Linked DNA regions of Schizosaccharomyces pombe. The protein of the gene in region 2 binds, or shares a complex with, the protein of the main gene of each other region. Each region holds a gene or a part of one and is shown on either strand. Other genes may lie near its edges. The genes, in order: bos1, ufe1, sft1 and gos1.

Region 1 (3,921 bases), on a different chromosome or scaffold from region 2:
ACATTACTTCTTTGTAGGCGTCTTGTGCCATTCGCTTTTCAAAATCTAAAGAAACATCATTAAACCTTCGACGGTTACTTATAGGAACGTATTCCAAATGTGTAAAATAGTATACACCTCCTCCTGCAATAAGAGCACCAAAAATCCATTGAAACCTCTTGTCTCTAGGATTGGGCTGAAATGATTTATATACCACTCTGTTTCTATTGGACCAACTCAAGTTGTTGCTTTGAAATCTTGCCTGTAATAAACCATTGAAATTTCGATAACTACATTTCTTGTATGATAGAACTGGAGCGCAGCTCACAGCCCTGGTTCTGGAATAGTTTGATATATACTTATTTAAAAACATTAAATAATTCTTATAGGAATTACTAAATATTGGCGCTAGATATTTAAAAAGATGAGAATGGAGGATAGTTTGGTGTATTATGGTATACGAAAGGATAATCGCTAACGATATTAATTTTAACAAACGTGTCTCGAGTTTCTTTAGTAAAAGTTAACTTCATCCAATACAGTTATTACAATATATATGGTACAAAATTAATATATATGAATACAAATTTCAATTGGCTTTCGACAAATTCTTAAGTTGCATTGAAAACGGTTGACAATAAAAATAGTGTAAAACAGTCGTCAACTAACGGTTCGTGATGACAATTAGTTTTAGTCTATTTTATTATTTTTAATACATAGCTTAACTGAGCAAATTACGAAGAAACTAAGGAAAAAAAACTATTGCCCATTGGTAAGTTAATTTTCTCTTGGATATTAAAATAAAATGAAATGGAATCACAATTGAAGCATTTCAAAGCAACCGCCTGAAGAGAAGGTGTTTTAGTCAAGCATTACCGCAACGGTATTAATTGATTGACAAACTAAGGATTTAAAAAAACACAAAGAAAGAATTAGATTTAAAAGGCCCATAAGTGCGTGATTAGTGGAATGTCATAAACAGAAGGAAAAAAACACAACAGTAATAGCTTGCAAGGAGAAGCTAACAAGTGCAAAATGTATAGCTTATTTTTAAAAATAATTAATAAAAAATTTAACTCTCAAGAAGCTCTTCAAATTTTTTAATCATCTTTGATTTTGTTGTACTGCCCCATATCATATAAGAATAGTAAATTTAAACAAGCCAACGACATGAACATGTTAGCGTAACCACCTGTAAATCAAGTAAAAGAGGACAAATACAAGGAATGCTCCACAATAAAATATAATCTTGTCTTGTTTGGACCTACGGTTGATTAAAGATAGAGTATGGCGAGTAATGCCAAGGGTATTGGCGGCATTCAGTACTTTTGTCTTAGTAGCTTTTAAAACGCTTCCCTGCTCAACTAAATCACCAAGAATCATCCGCCCACGTTCTAGAAATTCGTCAACTTGAGATTCTGCACGACCAAGGAAATCATGCTCCTTTAATAAACCATCTTGTCTGCTTAGATCTGATGGCCCTTCCACAATTTCTGCATCCGTTGTTGAATTTCCGTAGGGACTATCAAGAGAGTTCACATACCCACGCCTCCCTAACAATTCTTTTCTATTTTTTGCTTGCGCAATGTCACGAACGTGTGCCTTCAACTCATCAAATTTTTCCAACAACTGAACATGCTTTTGACGGAACTCTTGGATTCGTATTGTAGCTTTTTTTTTTTTAGCGGGAACCAATTCCCTTTGGACCATACTATCGTAGTCATCAATGGATCTGGATAATGACAGAAATGAAGCTGAGATCTGGCCTAAATTGATTTGCATTAGTCTCATGAATAACTTGGTTAAAATAAGTACCATAATTATTCATCTACACATACCCTGAATTCCAGCTAACGATATAGTGTTGCTCTCATCTTGAACACCACGTTCTAACTCATCGAGGCTTCGCTGAATGGACTGAAACAACTTTGTACACTAGCGAAATACAAATTAATATGTTTTCTAAAACTTTAGGAAGTTACATACGTGATTATAAAGAGTATTGCTCATTCTCTTGCCGTAGTTGGTTCCAATATGAGGGTAATTTATTTTCTTGTCTTTGATATGACAACACATGTAGCAAGTAACACGTTACTTGAATGCTATATCAAAATTGTAAATAGCTTAAAGTAGCAATTTATTTCTATACATTGTAAATACAGTTTTATAAAAAAGAATGCGTTTTTTTACCCAAAATTCATATTAAATGTAAATCACTATTGAGTTCAATTGTATTTTGTTGAACCCCATTTGAAAAATCTAATAATTCCATTCGTAATAACGAAATGTATACAATATCAAAAAGCGAAATTTTATAGGGGTCGTGTCTGATGCCAGCATTCAATTCGTTATGAAAGACGACGACGCCTAGAAGAATGTCCCGATGAACGTGGACGAGCTCGGGGCTTTTTCCAATAATATTGTTTATGTACACGACGTGAGGATCTTACTGGTCTCATTAATGGAGCATATCTCATACGCCGTTCTAAATCATCATCCACATCTGGGTTATAAAACCATTCACTCCACAATGGATCACCATTAGCATCAGTTCCGTAACGTTTAACCTCTTCAAAGTAGGGGTGCTTGGCTGCCAAGTCTCGAAGCTTGTCCTGAATTAATTGAAGTGGCATATTGGAAGGAAATAAATGCGAAAGTGCAGGAAGGGGAGTAGTTGAAGTTGTTGAGAAAACCAATTCATCTAAAACCAATCCTAATAATAAGCTATCGGGAGCTGAATTTTCTTTTGTTGATTCTGAGTAATCATGGCTAGAAGGGAGGGATTCATTACTGTCATTAGTGTTCTCATCAACAGCAGAGATGCTTTCGTAGTCTTCAGGTTCCTTCTTTTCCACAACTGCTGAACTCAATTCAGGAGCCATTGGCTCAACTTCGTTCACTGGGGAATCATTTGAAGTTGTAATATTAGAATTCTTTGAGTCATCATTATGGTTTGTAAAATTAAGTTCAGAGATAACGTCCGTTAGTCCAGCGGACGATTCATCAATTTGTATAACGCTATCCCGTCTTACTGTTATAGGCTCTTTTGACTCTTCAATTGGAGTGTATTCTTCACCTTCACTAATTTCCTCATTTTTATCAAGATCATCACTCTCGATTTTTTCGTTCTCAAAAGAAACCTTAACTTCTCTTAAAACGATGTTATTATCATCAGTGCCATTGAGTAAATCGTCGGTGTTCTTTGGGAGAAAAGATGGTTTTAATTGTGTATTTTTGGAACAATCAGACTTTTCCACCTGACCATCTTTTTCTAAGGCAAGAAGCTTTTGTAACAAATCTTTGGATGGAGGAGGATATACTAATTCGTTACTACGCAAGTTTAGCTTAGGAATGGATTCGGAATTAGTGTACAATATGAGATGATTCTGATCGTTTTGATAGTCTTGAGAAGGAGGTGATGAAGGCATCAAAGGTAAAGCTTCTTGAGGTGAAGGAGACATAGGTTCACGATTTTCTTCATAATTTTTAGCATTAAGATTTCCTTCCCATTCATCTTCAGAATCACTTGGCCAACCAAGAAGAACTCGGTAACCGAATACATCCAGTACAGGACAAGCATCCGAATTCGGTCTTACCAGGACAATCCGATCATTTTTCTTCATGTGGAATACTGACTTCCTCATTTTATCAGACACAATCATCCCATTCCAACCCACGCACTCAATAATCATGCGGTCTTGTGTACAAGTTACAATAGCATGTACACGAGAAATTGCTTTATCAACCGTGGATAGGACATGGTCACATTGTTGACTAGAACGGCCAATTTTATTAACGCGATGTGAACGCATCCGTACAAAAGACATTGGAGAAAGTGGCTCTCTTCTCACTGCAGAAGCAGGCGAAGAGGGGGCATAGAATGTATTACTAGATGGCTCAGGCGTGAGGACGAATTGGCCTAAATTAATATTAGTAAAAGTT
Region 2 (3,813 bases):
TCAACTGTTTGAATTTTTGTTTCCATTGTCAAGGAAGAAAACCTAAGTTTCTGGCTTACTGAGGCCAATTTTGCTATAAAATTGTAATACTTCAGCTTGTTTTATGTTAATTGATTTAGAAAGAAGAAGCTAAATGCTGATAGAGAGAAGGGTGAAGTTGATTGCTATTATTAAGTTGAAGCGCATCATTGCTGGTTGTCGACTCTTGCAAAGTAAGAGAAATAATTGTTGAAGATATATTTAAAAACTCAAGATTATTTTACTCTAAATACGAAAATAAAATCTCGTTTGAGAAATTTTACTAGAGTAGTGATTGACGACGATCTTTACTTAAAATTTGAATTTAGCTACAGAGGTTGTAAAAAAGAAATGTAAGCGCGACAATGATTTCACGAATGAAAAGAACCCACTTACTGTTTTTATTTGTGGGTTTTTTTTTATCGTTTCTGTTATTTGGCAGGGTAAGAATATATTCTTCCAATACATCCCTTTTGACTAAGCATTTAGTTAATTTGCTAATGTCCAATGCATCAATCTAAATTATATAGCTGAATGTTTAACAAACAAATTTGACTTTGAATTAATCGAGACTGATTGTGAACTTCTATAAACATTCGATCATACTAGATTTTTCAAGCTACAATTTTACCATAATCTATTTCATAGTAAATGGCCAGAAAATTTTTGGAAAACTAACGTACCCAAGATGAATTATAAGGAATTTTTATTTGGGCGTGCAAGGAATGGTCGAAAGAATAAGCATAAACATTATATTTACATGAGATTATAGACATGAACTTCACATGATCAAAGAAGAACGAGTTTCATTCCTTTGTCATTATTGTTACAATATAAAGTTTCAGAAGAATGAAGAGAATTAAACAATACGATCCAAGGATAGCAATAAAAGTCCCATAACGGTAAAGATGCAAAAAAGCAGACGAGCGGTCCGACTACTTCTAGATTTGGCCTTGATTAGTTGTTGATTACCCCCAGACAGCGAATCCATGACATTAAGGGCATCATCATAAAGTTTTTCAGCCGCACTTGATTGAATAGATAGTTGAGCGGATATTTCCGACTGAAGTCTAGTAATATCAGCCAAAGATTTCCCTGTATCACGTAAACGTTCCATAGTATGTTCAAATTCTTGGAGTAAAACATCGTTCTCTTGCTCAAGTTCTTGAAGTTGCTGTTGAGTAAAAAATGTTTGTAATTCAGATTCAGGGATCTCAACAGCTGAATTTTCATCAGTAGGATTTTTTGTTAAAAAGTCTGAAGCAATGTTTCGCTTTTCCTGACCTCGTTTTAATCTCAGATCTTGTAAATGATATAGAACAGAAGAAACATCGGAAAGTTCAGACTGCAGATACCACAGAACAGATGAATGGTGGGCGACTAAAGTTTCCTTTTTCGATAATTTACTAGGGTCTCTTAAACCTTGCAGCCAACCACTTTTTTTAGGGATTTGACTTTGTTGTTCTACTCATGCAATTAGCAAGCATGTCCCTGTGTTTTGTTTATAATTTAAGTAAACATAATTTTACCAGTATTAAAATTTTAAGCTTACCTTTCACAATCTCCTGCAACTTAGCTATTTGATGAATACAGCTACTGATTGCCGAAGAGACTTCATGTTCTATTTCATCCCTTTGAACCTCATCTAGCTCAAGCTTTGAAAGCTCCTCAAGTGAACACTCCATTAAAGGTTTTGAGAGTCTTTGGACATTTGAAAATGTTCTGTCCTTTAAATAAGCTCCACGAATCTTTTTCAAAAATACTAGAAGATTAACAATCGTTTCATGCTGCTAACGTTAGCAATTTGAACTCTCTGATTAGATATAGAAAGCAATAACAAAAGTTAATACTGTCAAAAATTTAAACCAATCCCACTCAATAATTAATCGTATATTATGGTAGCGCATCTCCACAGTGATCAATTGAGTTGAGGTTAAATTTCCGATTGGTTCAATAATTACAGAAAACTCGTCCTCAAACTTACAATTCTATATCCTTCAGCCAAAAAAGGATCCGTATAACTTATTCTTTTCAAAGGAATGTTTGCTGCATCAATGTCGCCATTTTTTGTTAATCCAAAAAACTCATTCGTACGACTCGTCATTCAGAATTTGAGATGCTAAGAAAGGAGAAATATAAATCCCGGGTTAAATGAATTTCAAATTAACAGAACAGATGTTTAGAAAATGGTAGCATTCCATATCCCCTTATGAATAGTGACACGGTAAACGGAATTGAGAGACTTAAAGGTGCTCGTAACAAATGTTCAAAAAAGCAAAAAAAAATACTCCATTGTACGAGTTTTGTTTATTTACTTCAAGTCGATGTCTACAATAAATGAAATTAAGCTAAAGTTTCGCAATTTTTGAAGTATTTAGAAATGAGCTATTTTCAAGTAAACAAACAAACGTAACCAGTTATACACCTCACAAGAATGGAGCGCAGTCAAATTGTTTACAATTTTTGAGTTATTTTTAAAAATTTAGCTTGAAAAAAGTTGTTTGTGTCCTTTATCTCGAAGAAATAAGGTTTTTGTTTTGCTGGTGTTGAGGTTGCTATATAATAACATGGTTTGGGCGACATAAATTCATCCTTTACCAACGCTCTTCGAAACGTTAAATTTGCATATTTATCAAGCATTTTATTGCAATAAGGCTAATATTATTAACTTTAATTGATTTTAACCTTCAGTATTTGCTTATTGTTATACAATATACAGTGATTACCCCTTTTTCTAAAAAGCTGTACTTTCGCATCACATCTGATACCTGCGTTCCTTTCAACTTTTTAATATAATCATCCAAACGATTTTAAAATCTGGTTGACATTACCGCGGAGCTTTAAGCTCTGCATTACGATATATTTTCTCTTTCACCAAAGATTGCTTTCTTCCTTACCATTTATTCCTTAATCAGCTTCGTTAGTATCTTTTTTACAACCAAATTACCAGTTTGGTATGTTAATTCATAATGGCATCTAAAATGCCTGAAGGGTCTCCCCCTACTAGTCGTTCTATTCAATCTCGAAATTCCAGTTACTCTACCTCTTCCAACGAACGTATTGGAACACCCTCTACGATTTCCCTATCTGAAAATTCAGATCTTTCTAAATTACAAAGTACTAATGATTTTGAGTCGCGAGAAGATCTCTCTCTTACTTCCGATGACAATAATGACCCCGAATATGTTATGTGCTACAACACTGTTTATCACCAAAAGACAAAAATAAATGATAAACTTTTATCCGAAACTGAGCAGTTACGTAAAATTTATCCTTTAGAATCCCGTGTATTTCCAAAACCTACCATTGTTAAAGAGATTACCAACGAGCGAACCAAGCGCTACACTTTTTATGACGATGATGCTCCTCTTACTAACCAACATACTGTTTTAGATGAAGCAACTTATAATCGAATTTTAAAAAGGATAGACTTTTTCATTGAAAAAGTCGTTGAAGTCCCACCTACTTACCATTTTTTATCGCTATTAAACGTTCAATTACGTATTCAACCAATTTGGTGGATGGATGAATTTGCTGAAAGAAATGGTATTGAAAGTTTACTGTCTGCTTTAAGAAACCTGGGTCACTATCCTGAACGTGCATCTAAAACACCTCTTGAATCCCAAATAATACAGTCATTATTTCACTGTTTGAACAGCGAAAACTGCCGTCGTCGTTATCAGTCTTCAGCTAAATGCTCTGTTCCAGGATTTAATGCTCTAGGTACTATTGCTGAGACTGTGCTTTCAAAAAGTTTAAATTCAGCTCGCATGGCTACTTTTCTCCTTAAATTCC
Region 3 (2,942 bases), on a different chromosome or scaffold from region 2:
TCTCACAGTAGTGCTTCTTTAGCTCATCTTTCTCAAGCCTCCAATCCAAATGGATCGTCTTCTGCCCCGCATAGGCCCACATCAGCTCGTGTAGGAAGTCACCGAAACGCACTAGACGCTTTAAGACGGGCGCGTATGCTTCCATCTGGATTTTCAAGAAGAAATTGAAGTTTTGAGCACTATTTTTAAATTTTTGCGCAAACATCGGAAAAAGAGTATTCATTACCTGTACTTCCGTACATTTGAATGCTGTGTTCTTAAAAAAGCCTAAATCAATACAAACATCTCATGGTCTGCATGCACAAAGCTTGAACGTGAAGCTAAGGTGTTAAAATTTTTATTATTATTTATTTTTGTGCCCTTCCTTTTGATCTTTTTTTTTTTTTTTTTGCCGGTTGAAGGTGAATGAATACTTAGTTTGTGGCACAATGTCATGATTCTATTCAATTAGTACTGCGTCTCTTTGCTTAAAACTCTTTCCTAAAAGTGAGGAATATCAAGCTTAATATGGATATACAGTCATAATTAAATTTTTTATTATTTTTACTTTTATGGTGGACTTATTGAAATTTCGAGGAAGGAGTAGTATTTCGTTAAGAATATTTCATGTAATTCTGCGCTTATATTTTCAAATTTATCTTCAGAATATTCATCGATAAATTTATTGCCTATAAGAATTCAAAGCTTGTACATTTTATAATTTTGAAGCAGGAGGTTATGTCATTATATCCGTTCCTTTATGTAGCATTCGCTTTCATGTCGTGTTAAAAAAACCATTTGGATGCATAGTAGATTATTAGTATACTCCCTACGATTGCCAGCACCATTGTCATGATTCTTCGTCGTCCGGCACTTCGAACCACACGGAAGAAATTTTCGGTGGATTTTTTAACAGAATTTGAAAGTCCTGAAAAGCTTTCAGTCTATAATAATACAGGTTAGGTAAAAACTCAAATTTTTTTTTTTAAATTACATACAGCCCGATCAATTCGAGTATAGTCATTGGCACGGGAATAAATATCGTAGGTTACGTTTTTCAAAGAAGAAACCTGCCCAGACAGAGTTTCCAAACGCCGCTCATTTTGATCATTCATTATAGAAATAACTTTTACAAAAATGAATGTACATACGTTAGCATCTTTCTATATCACTTGGAGTACTACCAAAATTTAACGACATTTAGGACGTGGTGATAAATCCTTTAACGAATCTCCTAACTTGATTCTATTTTCGTCGAGCTCAAACATAATGTTATCTACAATTCTTAGCATCAGCCGCCTAATTATTGCTTTATCAAATGCCAATATCGATCGGACTACTTATTAGTAGGTAAATGGTTTGGAAGTTCATCGTTTCCATCCATTTTTAATGAGCAGTAGGATCCGTTCTTTAACATCTGAGTTATTTGAGGAATTGCTATTCATCGCTAAGTCAAAACATATAATATATTTGTATAGGTACTCGCTACCAAAATATTTGGATCCATTACTGTTTCCTGTTTCCAAGTAAAAGGGTTTATTTATCCGCTGCGTTTTAGACTCAGGACACACTATCTTTCTGCAATACTTTTGAACCTGAATTCATTCAATAAATTGAATTCGACATCATATAATATAAATTTTTATTTTTTACGTTTGAATTGGATTTTTTGTTTATAATTGCATTGTTTTAAGAGATTAATAATTCATTTATTGTTCTCATGAGTGTTCGGAAACGGTACAAGGTTACTTATGTTCTTGATTCCTGTAACGATCAACTAGGGCACCGTTTGGATGCTAATTGTCTAGTGCTAGGTCGGTACTTTTCAGAACAAGGGTCAGCACCAGTTACTAGAGCACTTTACAGTGGTGGCCGAGATGGACAGCTTTTCGGTTGGGACATCGGGTATGATTATGGTAAAGCTTCCCAGCCCTTAGCCAAAATCCAGGCTCATTCTGCTTGGGTAAATGATATAGCTTTAACACATGATTCCGAAGGAGGTAAGCCTTTGAAAAATTTAATTATCTCTGGAGAATAGCGGTAGCCTTATAGAAATTGACGTTCTAACATTTATTAGTGATATCTTGTTCTTCTGATTCAACGGTGAAACTCTGGAAGCCACATGTCTTGAATGCTTCTTGTTTATCAACAATTGGCGAGCATACCGACTACGTAAAGCGCGTAAGCATTCCCAAATATTCCAAGAGTCCGTTAGTCGCTTCGGGTGGGTTGGATAAAAGGATAATTGTATGGGACTACAACGTAGGTCAAGAAGTTATGCGATTTGAACAGTTACCTGACTGTTCTCTTGTTGTTGGTCCAAGATCTGGTGTTTACTCGCTGGCAGCGAATAACAACATAATTGCTAACGGCGGACTACAAAAAGACATTCAGTTATGGGATTGTGTTTCCAAGAAAAGGATTACAGATTTAGTCGGTCATACTGACAATGTTCGAGATATTCTAATTAGTGATGATGGCAGAACAATTCTCACAGCCTCTTCAGACGCTACAATAAAGCTTTGGTCTCTAAGGGCGCAAAAATGTTTATTCTCTTTCATAGCTCATTCAGACAGTGTATGGGCATTATATTCTGAGCACCCAGATTTAAAAGTATTTTATGCTGGTGATCGCTCAGGCTTGATTACTCGTACTGATATAAGAAACCAGCCTAACAACCAAAGCTGTACTGCAATATGCAAGCAGGATGCTCCTGTCTCTGACATTGTTGCTCGTCAATCTTTCATATGGAGTACTAGTCGTGATGGCTCCATTCTTCGTTGGAAGGATGAGCCCCTCTTTAATCAGGACGTGGGAGCAGCATTATCTAAGCATACCTCATCTCATCTTTCTGTATCATCGGACTGTCCCTCGAGACATTCTTCTGACATACGAAATCATAGCTGTCCAACATTATATCACGACGATGCTGAGGATATATATTATGATTTGCATCATACTGA
Region 4 (4,399 bases), on a different chromosome or scaffold from region 2:
ACTTTCATAAGTGGTCAACCCCCCCACATAGTACTTGAGGTAGTAGACGAAGTCATAATTGCTATTCAAGTGAGTAATGTCTTAAAGAGAATATGGACCCCCCATTAGTACTTTCTAACCCACTTGGAAATTGAAATTGCTTTGATTTTTAAGCATTATGAATTAATATAATATTAATGCGTATTAGCTTATATAAACGATTACTAAATTATATTCTCATAGTTTTTCATGCATCTACATAAACAGTCGGCAGGGACGTAAAAAGCTACTCTTTTAACTATGATTTTGTATTGTAGTACATTAAGAAGGGTAAGTAAGGTCTTTATATTGTAATCTCTACGCCCTGGTTGACAGCTGTTTTAATAAGCTAGAATTTTTCGCTAAATGAGTTTGCTTTAAACATTGAATTAATTAGAAAGGTTTGTATTGTTCATTATCTCAGCATTCCATTTCCTATCCTTACATGCACGTTCAATGTAAGTTGAAAAGATAGTATTCAATGAAAGATTCGCAATCCAATGAAAAGCCAATTTTAGTCTTGAATTATATTACAATGAAATTAAAAGGAGAAAACCTTTATCGTAGATATATACTAATGTCCAAAAACAAATTAAAAAACCAAAATGAAAATTAAGATATGAATTTTTAACGTCAGAGTACTTCCACCTGTAACAACAGCTCCTTTCTGCTATACCTATCTATTGAAGTTTATAATAATAATTAAGTTCATCCTTGCGTTTCTTAAATCGCATAATAAATTAAAGATTATTTCCCCTTTAATCTACCTATAATTGGTAAACATGGCATATAATTATTTAAAAAATTTAGTCATTCCGAGGTTGATTGTTAAGCATCAGTTCAAGTTGCGTTCTTTTAGCACCAAAAGTCTCAATGATACAAAAGAAAAAGCCCCATCTGCTCTCATTCCAGTAGGTTTACTGGTAAAACCGACGATGCTTTCTGAAGTCCAAAAGCCAACATTATGGGAAAAACTTACCAAACCCGCGAGTACATCTTCTCCTGAGCAAAGACAGAAGGAGCTGCTGAATGAAATGAAGAGATCAACTATTCAAGATTTCAACGAAGTTCGTCGATTTAATGGTAAGCTGTTTTACAGTCCTCCAAGATTATTTAAGGAGAAGGTATGAACAATTGGTTAAAAGTAATATTCATTTCTGGAAATTTCAAATAAGAATGAAAAAAAATTAGTTTATTGCTTAAAAATATTGACACGTTTTAGAGCGCCTTATGGATGTACAACTTTCATGGGAAGTCATTACGAAATCAGTACAAAGAGCTATATAAAGATTGGCAAGGCTCGCCCTTTTTCTTTGCATTATTTAGCAACGCGTTTGGAGAAAACCAATGTAGGAATTGGATTCAACATCTAGCTCCATTTGATTATCTGCCAGTTCGTTATGCAAATGTTCAATCCAATCTAATAAAATATTGGCTACAGAAGATATTTATAGGAAAAGTTAAAAGATCAATACCAGAAAAGTGCTGGGTAAGTAGACGCATTATTTGTCCAAGCTGCTCACAAGTTTGTTCGCTTGATAAGATAGATTTATTTACTTCCAAAATTTATAACCTTTTGCTAACTAGCAGAATGAATATATTACAGCATACGACAATAAGTTCAGTTTCCCAGAAATAGGATGGAACAACAAACTTGTTGGAAATGTGTATTTAATTGACGATTCCTGCAAAATTCGCTGGCTTGGAACCGGTGATCCAACTAATGTCGAAATTGAAAACCTGAAGACAGCGATTAAGTTTTTGGTAAATAAAAACGTTGGTTAAAAGTAAAAGGACTTTTATATTATTTCATCTTAATTAAACCTTTATGACATATTCATAACTTTGGCGGGATCAATGCCCTTCATAAACGTTTCATAAAACATGCAACTTAATGAAAAAAAAGGAACAAAAGCATCAAGACAGATATGAGTAAAGCTAAAATGATAGAATCACGTCTTCGACGGATCGAGGTTTTCCTTAATATTTGATTAATAAAAGGGATTGACATGGCCGCCCCGTTTATGCGATTGGTCACATTTCCTAAGACGCTATTTTGGTAATCAAAGTCTTCCCTCGTAGCATAAGCTCTTTCAAGAAGCTCATTAGTGCCTCTAATAGAATTGTCTAAAGAGTTTGCCTCTTGCATTTCTAAAAAGTTTTGTGCATCTCGTAATTCTTCAGGAGATAGAACTTCCTGTTTCGCATCATATTTTTTCAAAACGCCATTAAGAAGTTGCTCATCTCGTTTTAGTCTTTCAAAATGTGATTTGATAGTAGCCATTGAATGCGAGTCATTTTCGTCAGCTGAAGAGTTGGCTTCTTCAAGAAGCTTCCTTCTTTCCTCTAGCAGAATTTTAGCTTGGTTAGGATCACTGTGCAACGATCTTTGGAACTGAGACGCTTTTTTCACCGAATCTCTCAAAAGCATAGACTTCATGGCTAAAGAGATCTTCAAATTTTTATAAGAGAAAAATTAGTAGCTTAAGTTATGATTTTAAAACAAACGTTTCTCTTCTGTTGATTAATGTGGCTTTCAGATGACGTTCTTACTAGTATGTAGTTTAGAGAAGTATCCCACTACGTAGAGATTCCTAAATATACCAGTGATAGAAAAGCTATGCTACTAGAAAACATTGTGATATTAAGATAGGATATTTTTCATTCAAAATGAATTTTAAGCATTAAATTAACTACGCAACCAACATTGCATTGTTATGGTAAATATCAAAATTATTTTGAAACATGAAGCTCGTGTCTCAACCAACTTTCAGTCGGTGACTAAACTGATGATTTTTTGTTTCACAAAAGATTTTAAAACTTTTTTATTAGAGAGCCAACGTTTCCCATCATTCGTCTCAAGCACAAAATTTAGTATTTCATTTTCATCATTGAGTTTGGGCATTTCAATCTTAAATCTCACCTTACCATTAATTTGGACAGGAATAGTAACGGGCTCCTCCATATTCTCCTTTTTATTTTTGGAAATGGGCCAGTTAGAGTAAACGGAAGAATTATGTCCTAGCAGCAACCAACACTCACTTGAAAAACAAGGTATTATTGGAGCAATACATTTCACAAGCACTTCCAAAGATGCTTTAATTGTTCCGATATTGACTTTGTTATTTTTTAAAGCATCTGCTATATTATTAGTCAATTTCATGGCGTCAGAAATTACTAAATTGAGAGAAAATACATTTTCATAATGAGCAGAACATTGTGAAATAAATTCATTATATTGTGATTCGAGTTTCCTGCTATTGTGATCGTCGACAATAGTTAACTTCGTTTGTCTCATCGCATCAGACATTTTTTTCTCACGTTCCAATAACTGATGAACACAATTCCATATTTTGGTTAACCACCGTTTTGTTCCCATTATTGCATTTTCATTCCAAAGGAGTACGCCTTCCACTGGAGCTGAAAATATTATGTAAGCTCTAATAATGTCTGAGCCATATTTTTGAATAGTACGTATCGGATCTACACCGTTATGCTTGCTTTTGCTCATTTTCTGGTAAGAAAGTTGAACTTTCTCTTTAGGATTACTGATTAGAAAATATTCGTCTCCAATTTTCTGGACTTCTTTTGGATTAAGTATTCGTTCATCCGACATCGTTGTATAAGTAAGACCATGAACCATCCCCTGAGTAATTAGTTGAGTAAATGGTTCATTTAAATATTTATCACCATTCCATAACCCAATATCCTTCATGAATTTTGAAAAAAACCTGGAATATAGAAGATGAAGTATTGAATGCTCAACGCCACCAATATAAATATCAACAGGCATCAAAGAGGACGCACTTGCTAAACCTACAGGAAGCTCCGAGTTTTTAGAATCCAAAAAACGAAAATAATACCATGATGAGTCTACAAATGTGTCCATAGTATCAGTTTCTCTTGTTGCTGGGCCATGACATTTCGGACAGGTTGTTTTCATCCATGTTTCTAGATTTGATAACGGCGAAGTACCTTTTTCATATATTTTATCAAGATCAGGCAACTTTACAGGAAGTTCAGATTCAGGGACTGGGACAGCACCACAGGTTTCGCAGTGAACCATTGGTATAGGAGTACCCCAAAATCTTTGTCTTGATATAAGCCAATCTTTGAGTCTATAATTTTTAACACGTTTGGCTAATTTCTTCTCTTCAAGGTAACTGACAATCTTTTGCTGAAGCATTTTTTGCTTGATATCCATTAAATTCGAAGAATCATGATGATTCAAAAGTTCTTTTCCCTCATTTGTAAAATATGAACCTATACAACTTTCTTTAGAAAATATTATGTTATTACGCTTAGCAAACTCAAAATCTCGGCGGTCGTGAATAGGTGCGCCCATAACGGCGCCAGTACCATAACAGTCCAAAACGTAAGG

What was found.
Region 1: ufe1 (region 2) and bos1 share a complex: the UniProt entries of both Schizosaccharomyces pombe proteins name them as parts of the SNARE complex.
Region 3: ufe1 (region 2) and sft1 share a complex: the UniProt entries of both Schizosaccharomyces pombe proteins name them as parts of the SNARE complex.
Region 4: ufe1 (region 2) and gos1 share a complex: the UniProt entries of both Schizosaccharomyces pombe proteins name them as parts of the SNARE complex.

The regions. Positions count from the first base shown.
Region 1 is NC_003424.3:1,923,170-1,927,090, reverse strand, and holds bos1 (SNARE protein Bos1), read right to left. Parts: upstream 2,011-3,921; 5' UTR 1,990-2,010; coding exon 1,966-1,989; intron 1,925-1,965; exon of another isoform or gene 1,915-1,924; coding exon 1,818-1,914; exon of another isoform or gene 1,746-1,817; coding exon 1,159-1,745; 3' UTR 552-1,158; downstream 1-551. Other genes in the region: metallopeptidase Oma1, read right to left, coding at 1-352; tos4 (transcription factor), read right to left, coding at 2,328-3,898. UniProt on the Schizosaccharomyces pombe protein: SNARE required for targeting and fusion of ER-derived transport vesicles with the Golgi complex.
Region 2 is NC_003421.2:1,000,143-1,003,955, forward strand, and holds ufe1 (SNARE protein Ufe1), read right to left. Parts: upstream 2,192-3,813; 5' UTR 2,123-2,191; coding exon 2,003-2,122; exon of another isoform or gene 1,975-2,002; intron 1,840-1,974; exon of another isoform or gene 1,806-1,839; coding exon 1,571-1,805; intron 1,483-1,570; coding exon 878-1,482; 3' UTR 570-877; downstream 1-569. Other genes in the region: SUA5/yciO/yrdC family protein Sua5, read right to left, coding at 1-26; formin For3, read left to right, coding at 2,988-3,813. UniProt on the Schizosaccharomyces pombe protein: Syntaxin required for targeting and fusion of Golgi-derived retrograde transport vesicles with the ER.
Region 3 is NC_003424.3:413,707-416,648, forward strand, and holds sft1 (SNARE protein Sft1), read right to left. Parts: upstream 1,134-2,942; 5' UTR 1,095-1,133; coding exon 978-1,094; intron 924-977; coding exon 765-923; 3' UTR 539-764; downstream 1-538. Other genes in the region: rod1 (arrestin/PY protein 1), read left to right, coding at 1-168; bun107 (WD repeat-containing protein), read left to right, coding at 1,700-1,979, 2,057-2,942. UniProt on the Schizosaccharomyces pombe protein: Vesicle SNARE required for retrograde transport within the Golgi complex.
Region 4 is NC_003424.3:779,546-783,944, reverse strand, and holds gos1 (SNARE protein Gos1), read right to left. Parts: upstream 2,585-4,399; 5' UTR 2,459-2,584; coding exon 1,910-2,458; 3' UTR 1,804-1,909; coding exon of another isoform or gene 1,609-1,803; 3' UTR 1,508-1,608; coding exon of another isoform or gene 1,241-1,507; 3' UTR 1,143-1,240; coding exon of another isoform or gene 801-1,142; 3' UTR 526-800; downstream 1-525. Other genes in the region: atp10 (F1-F0 ATPase assembly protein), read left to right, coding at 801-1,142, 1,241-1,507, 1,609-1,803; SPOM_SPAC4G8.09 (leucine--tRNA (Leu) ligase), read right to left, coding at 2,789-4,399. UniProt on the Schizosaccharomyces pombe protein: Nonessential SNARE involved in retrograde transport within the Golgi complex.